Drosophila melanogaster: one gene and its partner. The protein of the gene in region 1 interacts with the protein of each later gene in a pairwise test. Each region holds a gene or a part of one and is shown in the gene's direction. Other genes may lie near its edges.

Region 1 (4,138 bases):
AGCAAAAGTAGTAGCCGTAATCATAGCAATTTCCTGGGAAACCCAAGTAGAGGTAAATTCGAGCAGTCAACCGGCTAAAAATGTTGCAATTACTAATATAGTTAACTGGTCTCTAGTTACGCACGACTTATAAATGTTATATGTACGTATGTAAAGGGGCCATTTTTGACTATCTTATCCGGCAAAGTTTTGGAGCGGCCACTTGAGCGCTTAAGTAATAAGCACCAAAATACAATGCCTAGGCGAGCTATTTAGATAAGCAACAGATATATGTAGATACTTATGAGCTGATAGTGCGAATCTCTGTTGGAATTCCGTTACATTCTAGAAAGTAAGTAAGCCAGTCACTCGTTGTCTTTTCTGGGGATTGACTGGAAGATAAGATTGTCGGGGCCAAAGAATGAAATACAATAGTGCGCAGGGTGAATATCCACCTGATTGCCTTGCGTGGAACCTTGCAACGATATCGCCAAAAAGGCAAACAGCCGAGCAATAATCCATCTTAAGAAGAAGAGTCTCAGTAAGTATGTACATAGCCCTCTGTCTAGCACTGATCTGGGTCAATACGATAACGCCAAGCCGATATATGTCCGCTTATCCAATTACTGTCCCATCCATCAGAATAGGCAGTATTGAATCAATATGGGTGGCGATAGCGGCACGCTTTAAGACCCGGAGAGTTCCAGATTACGGCGGAATTTGCAATTCCACACTTGAATGATTTCAATGCAAGTCTCTATGGTTATTCTTAAAACCAAGTGATCATTTCTTGCATCACTAAGGGATTTTTGCTATGTTTTTGGAAGTGTAACTAATTTGCTGATATCCTGAATCTCTTGAGTCATATATGTACATATATATTTTCCCGCACTGATTCATATTTCCTATGATTGTTTGCTTGGTTATCTTGGCCTCTTTGCTCTTGGATCTTGGATGAATTTCGATGGGTGGGAAGTTACTCACCCACCCACCAGGGCGAGATTTAGCCAACTTACCGATGAGGTAAACCCTGAGAAAATGAGTATTATTTTCATAATTTCTTTCGCTCTTTCTGTGACTTTCGTCTTATCATTTTCGGATTCTTATGAAGCCACGAGCCGAATACATGCCGAAGTACTCATGTTTGGGCGAAATTTGAAATATGACCGAAAAACTTCGGAGTTTTCTTGGGTATCAAGAGAGCCCTACACTGAAAGAATTAAATTGCTAACATTTTAGACTGAAACCTAAGTGACAAAGATTGTGCCCCTCTCTCAGCTTATACTGCGAGTCAGAAGCTGAAAAAAATTTCTTTTTTTTTTCTCATAGTCCAATAGTCTACGTAAGTCCTGCTAAGTGTAGCGCACTCCAGTAGGTTCTCATATTTCCCTTACTCTTTTCTTGGACAACTCTGAACTAAACACAATACCATTGCTGATTCGGCATTTCCGTGTATTTCTGCCCGACGAAGTTATCTTATCGGGCCCGGGCGACTCTCCTGGCCAAAAATGAGCGGTCGATAAGGCGCCAGAAAGCCCTCTCCGACGAATGTGGAATGGTGATGAAGATCGGCGAACGGGGACCGGAGACCGGAGACCGAAGGTTCCGAGACCCGGAGACCAAGTGCAGAGTCTCGAGCCTTGCAGTTACGAGGAGCTAGCCGCGGCAAGCGGAGCGCACAAATCCATCCGAACCCAGAAGCCAGCCCGTTTCCAATTGCCACCCAGCCATAGTTGTCGTAATCATCGTAAGAAAGTGAACGAAGTAGAAGTGGGATCGGATCGGATCGGATCGGGGCCAGAACCTAACCCAAAACCGAAGATAACGAAGGCGTTACAATGCTGAACACCTTCAGTTCGGTGAGGCAGTACCTCAAGTTCGATCTCACGCGTGTGGTCATCGACAATATAGTGTTCAAGCTGCACTATCGATGGACCTTCGTAATACTCCTAGTGGCCACCCTCCTGATCACGTCGCGCCAGTACATCGGGGAGCACATCCAGTGCCTATCCGACGGTGTTGTGTCTCCGGTCATCAACACCTTCTGCTTCTTCACGCCCACCTTCACAGTGGTAAGTCAGCGGGGTCACAAAGGGAAAATTATAAGAGGTCACCAGGGAATTAAAAAAAATATCTATGTACGGGGTACACAGAAGTATCTATTGAGAGCAACTGTTATCAATACTCTATTTGATTATTGGTTAAAACTTAAATAGGGTTAATCGATTTAGAGTCGTTTTATTGCTATTAGTTGGTTGATATATGTTGCCACATACCCATTCCTGAAATGATCAAATGATAGAATAGATTTTATTTATGTGCCTTGGCGGCAGTAGATCATTTATTAACATAGCTTGCACCCCAAATAGGTACGTGACCAGAACCAAACTGCCTACAGGCCGGGAAGTGAGCCACCTGGTATAGGGGCATTCGATCCCGAAAAGGACACGATCAAGCGGCATGCATACTACCAGTGGGTGCCCTTTGTCCTGTTCTTCCAGGCTCTCTGCTTCTACATTCCCCATGCCCTGTGGAAGAGTTGGGAGGGCGGCCGGATCAAGGCCCTGGTCTTTGGCCTTCGAATGGTGGGTCTAACGAGGTACCTGAAGAACGATAGTCTGCGTATCGGCAAGCTGAACATTCCCTCGATGGCGGAGGCGGAGGAGCGGGTCAAGGACATTCGTCGCACAATGATCGACCGGATGCGGCTGAATCAATCGTGGGGTGCCCACTTGGTCTTCGCGGAGGTGCTCAATCTGATTAATCTTCTGCTGCAGATCACATGGACCAACCGTTTTTTGGGCGGTCAATTCCTCACACTGGGACCACATGCCCTGAAAAATCGGTGGTCCGACGAGCTGAGCGTTTTGGATCTAGTATTCCCGAAGATTACCAAGTGCAAGTTCCACAAATTTGGTGACTCTGGCTCCATTCAAATGCACGATGCCCTTTGCGTGATGGCGCTGAACATCATGAACGAGAAGATCTACATTATTCTGTGGTTCTGGTACGCCTTCCTTTTGATTGTTACTGTTCTGGGACTGCTTTGGAGAATTTTAACCCTGTGCTTCTACAGAAAGTGAGTGGATGGATATAGGTGTGAAATATGTTTTCATAATGTGATAACCCTTCTAACCCACTTTAATTAGTGTCACATTTACCCGCTGGTCTCTCTATTGGGCCAAGCCTGGCCAACTGGACGAAAACGAATTATTGGCGGTAATTGATAAGTGTAACTTTTCCAACTGGATGTTCCTTTTCTTCCTGCGCTCCAACCTTTCGGAGTTCCTATTCAAGAAGGTTATCTATCATTTGGCTAGTGAGTTCCCCAATCCCGATCACGATAACGATGTCAATGCCTATCGAGAGGCACCGCCCACGCCCGCTAAGAACCGTTATCCGGAGCTCAGTGGTCTGGATACGATTGATTCACCACTCTTGCACCTTCGACGCAATGGCTCGCCCTCTGCCGGCGGAGCCCAAGGGCCATCGACTTCGGATATGGCAAAGTTACCTGTATAATTTATGCATTTCAATTAACGCTAGGCAATTAATTATTGGAGCTTTGTCTTGTTTACACCTGTTTTTTTTTTATATATATATATGATCATTTCATTATAAATATATTTATTATTAAGAGACTCGGCTTTCAGCTTTATCCAACAGGTTTTTTTCGGGGCTCACATAAAGCAAAATCTCTCAAAATGGCCGACAGAAAAACAGTTATTTTGTGTGAGGTATTTTGAAAAAAAAAGTGGGTAAAAAGCACAACAAAACCAAAACCGACCAGACACCTTTCGGAGGGGCGTGTGGGCGTGGCCGACAGTTTGTGTCGAGTGGCGACTGCGGTTGGGTGACCCAGTTCGAGTGATCCGTTGTGGTTTCGAAAGTGTTTGTTACTGAGCTGCAGTGTTCAGTTCAGAGCTGGGTCACAGTTTGTACCCTCCCATCTGACTGTGAAGTTTCAATAGATGTGCATGACGGTATCCCCGATTACGGACGGTTCTCCAGGTGAGTTATTGCTACTGTAAGTTTTATATATTTTCTATGGTTTTGGGAAGTTTAAGTGGTTTTCATCGAAAACATCCAGAGATAGGAGGAACTCAACTTCTGAAGTCAACGCTTCCAGCTGCATTAAGACATTTACACATGCCGCTCT
Region 2 (4,001 bases), on another chromosome or scaffold:
TGCCACGCCCAGTATGGCACCAAATTCTGCAATTTGAAAAAACAATAAAGTTAGATTTACACCACTGGCAGTTTGCAATCCACTCACTTTCCATTACAGCTCAACTTTGGACAAAGCATAAACTCGTACTGAATCTGAACGTCGACCTGCGATTACTTATAAATATCAGAGGATAAGCAGCAATCACTATTTGCTGGCAAGATAAGCGGATTGGTTTTTGAGGGGTATTCAACTGGGTAAGATGGGTTAAATAAAGATGAATAGAAGTCATTTGTTAAAAGCTCGAAGATTACAATCAAATGTATTGATTTTGCTTAGGGATTTGCTATATAATATTTTTGAAAAGGTAAATGATAGAGCACAAAAAATGGGAATGTTTGATAAAATTGTATTTATAAATTTAATGTTTTTAAGGAGCATTCATAAAATTTTACTTCAGAAAAAATTAATTATATTTTTCGTTGCTAAAGTACTGGGTGATTTCTAGTCGTAGTGAATGGTGATTTTATAAACAAGTTGGAGATTGCCAATTGGCTACCGGTAAATTAAATAGGAAGTAGATAAGTTATCATTTCGGCCAAAAAATAGTAATAAAATGAAGAGCAAGATCAGCTGGTTTAATTCATAAGGCTTAGTGGGTTAATAGAGAGCTTCCCTTCTTTATTATAAAAAAAAAAACATTTTTAGTACTCTACCAATTAAATATAAAAAGTAAATAAGCACGTAGCTTGAACTATTTTTTAAGAATTTAAATTACTTCGAAAATGCCTTGTGATTTGGAAAAAGTATCGAGTAAAGTGTTTAAATGTCATTGCATACTTATGGGCGAATTTCTAAACGGACAAAACTCGCTTTTAGGCGAAACAATAAAATAAGGCGGATAGATTTAAAATAGTTTAACGGAAAATAAAACTGACTAAAAAAATGGGGTTTTTGTTATTAAACATTAACATCAATTATTTTTATAGATTATATAGATAGATAATAAAATTTCAAAATACTTGCATATAATTGTACTATTTAATTATGCATACAAATAAATAAATATATATAACTCATAATTTCATAATTTCATAGTGCGATTTATTTATTTTGTATTTCAGTTCAAACGGTTCTTTTGGACAAGTTATTAATATAAACATTTGTAGTTCGGTAATTTTTCCCCAGAACCTGATAACCTTCAGAGGAAAGTCTAGTCAAGTCAAGTCAAGAGTCGCAGTGCGATTCAAATTGAGATATCTAACTAATGTCGTGTTGCTGAAATGAGTGCCGAGATACCAGGGAAACACCACTGAGTGATCAATAAGAGCCGTGACACTTTCCCGCCTCCTCGAGCTTCTTCGAAATTAAAAAACAATTATAGACAAAGAGGGTTCGCAATCAGCAGCTGATAATCCAAATTCCGGCGCGGCTGTCAACGTATAAAAATATATATAAACTATATATACATACTAAACTAAGTATGTATGGTGTCCGCTGGCCAAGAATCGATTTGAGCTTATAAGCCAGTCCATTTTGGCCGGGTCCGCTAGTTTCACTTTCGTCGTCCAACGCCTTCGAACCGCCTTCAAGCTAACCCAACAACTTCGGAGGGATGCAAGGTGCGTGGTTTACCCCAGACCTTAGAATCTTATCTAGCATTAATTTCGATACTAACGCCCTACTGGCGGCTGGCTTATCTGGCTGACAATTTTTTAATTACCCACCCAGTTCGCGCCGCGAATTGTCAACTATAAAAACGCAAAGGCTGCAATTGATTGAGTTAGTAACGAAATCGGAACGTTCGCTTCGGTCGTCTGTCTATCAAGTGAATTTGTCCCCGAAAAATATTAGCATTCCAAGATGGGAGGTACGTTGGCTCGAAGAACGGATACAGTTATCTCAGGTGCACAGTATTCAAGACGTCTTGCTTCGACTAAATTTTGAAAAGTGGTTTCAAACATGGTTTTAAGGCCCTGAAATTCTCCTGCAAAGGAGATGACTTTCAAAAATGGCTAAAATGACTTTCAAATTTCGATTTGTTACTCAAATTGAGTTTTTCTTTCGTCCTTAATTGATTTTTTATCCAAAAAAAGGGCTGCCGTGTTGGCTACAACAAAGGCTTAACCAATTTTAGAGACGCTAACACGAATTTTGGATTGAAAGCTATCAATTTTGTCGTTTCTAGCATAATTTCTTTGCATTATTAAGTACAAACAAAATAGAAAACTATTCGACGATTACACATGTCTATATTTTATTTAATAATTCATAGTTCGTATCCCCCTGTATCCCCCATTTAGCAATCAATATGAGGATCTGTGTCGTGGCCGCATGTCTCCTAATGGCATCGCAGGCCACCGGCTACACGATGGATGATCTGTGCCAACAGTGGTCGGGCTATGGATACATCGGCAATCCGAGCAACTGCCATGCCTGGGGATACTGCAAGAACCAGGAGGTTGTGGCCTGGGGCACCTGTCCCAACGGCTTGGTGTTCAACGCGCAGGCCGGCAGCTGTGATTACGCTAATACCACGGTGTGCTCCACCAGTGCCGTTGAGACATGCTCCAACGTCAAATCTCCCATGTATGTGGCCAATCCGTTGAACTGCACCGAATACGCCTACTGCGATGGCACAGGCCAAATCTCCTATGGCGATTGCGGCACCGGCGGCGTCTATTCGGCATCCTCCACAAAATGTATATGGGGACCCGCCTGCCCGCAGGACACCATCTGTCGGTTCATGTTGTCCAACATCTTTGTAGGCGATCCGAACCAGTGCGGCAACTACATCAACTGCGTCAACGGCTATGGCACTTCCGAAAAATGTTCCAGCACCGCCAATCCCTACTATAATAAAGCCACTGGCAACTGCCAGTCGACGAATCCGTGCACCGGCGAAGATTCAAACAGTGGAAACTCTGACCAGTTCACTGTTGGGCAAACAAATGCAACTGCTTGTGACGAAGAAGCTTTTAAAGCAGCAGATCCACTTACTGTAAATGGGGAATCTGTTGACTATAGGTACGTTTCTGATGGTGTCACCTGCTATGGGTACTACTACTGTGCAGCAGTAAACGCCACTGGCTATTGGAACCAATGTCCCACCGGTACCCAATTCAATGCTGGCAAGTGCGTTTCGCCAGCCTCCTTTGTCTGTACCCATAACCGATGTGGGAACGTTAACAATCCATTCATGGCAGATGAGGGTTGCAAGAACTACACAATCTGCTCCAGCGGAATAACCGGATCATGTCCCACCAATGCGCCGTACTACGACGAGGTGAACAATATCTGCACCACCAAAATTCCCGATTACGCCATTTGTAATTCGACGGCTAGTACATGAGCATCTCCTCCAGCCACGTCTGTTTGCCGAGATACCTTTTATGAAATATATAAATAAATACCAATGCTGAAGGCATTCAAAAGAAACTAATAAAAATGTTGACTTCGACCAAGCGAAATTTGTTTTAAATGTTGTTGTTTTTGAAATTGTTGATTAGTTGTTCGCCTTTTTGGTAGCAAATCTTTCAAAAAGAGGCTCACAGAAAATGTGCCTCAAAATATAAATATAATTTCTGCGGGATGGGTATTTGTAAATGTTATCTGCCAAGCTAAGTTAATTAAATAATTAATTAAAAAAATTCAATGGCCTCCATCTATTGTATTAGAAGAAGGTGGAACAGTAAAACCCCATTGCTTGGGAAATTTCTGGAGAAGTTACTTGATTGACGTCAGCATTGAGATATTGTTTTGAATTCAGTACTTCAAAGCCTAGTATTGTAGTAGGCTGCTCCTTCTACCCTCTTCCTTTACTCTTAGTCATACATACCTAATTATACATAGCCAATCTAGTCATAAGCTTATACACTCATACACCCATCCTTAACATACAAATATTATCGAGAAACTTATCGACTAATCGACTCGCCACTCTGCAGAGAGCGCGGCAGTCAGTCGCTGTTGAACCAAGCTAAAGGACAGATCAAAAATAAAAGAGACACGTGAAATTGTAT

What was found. Proteins that work in one complex are often made in the same cells at the same time.
Region 2: the proteins of Inx7 (region 1) and CG6933 interact in a two-hybrid assay, tested with the Drosophila melanogaster proteins (one large-scale study listed by BioGRID).

What each region holds. Positions count from the first base shown.
Region 1 is NC_004354.4:6,991,093-6,995,230, reverse strand, and holds Inx7 (innexin 7), read left to right. Parts: upstream 1-1,618; 5' UTR 1,619-1,817; coding exon 1,818-2,051; intron 2,052-2,348; coding exon 2,349-3,058; intron 3,059-3,128; coding exon 3,129-3,501; 3' UTR 3,502-3,619; downstream 3,620-4,138. UniProt on the Drosophila melanogaster protein: Structural components of the gap junctions.
Region 2 is NT_037436.4:20,217,945-20,221,945, reverse strand, and holds CG6933 (uncharacterized protein), read left to right. Parts: upstream 1-1,525; 5' UTR 1,526-1,594; coding exon of another isoform or gene 1,595-1,601; intron 1,602-1,710; 5' UTR 1,711-1,842; coding exon 1,843-1,885; intron 1,886-2,282; coding exon 2,283-3,331; 3' UTR 3,332-3,444; downstream 3,445-4,001. Other genes in the region: CG17145 (uncharacterized protein), read right to left, coding at 1-26, 88-94.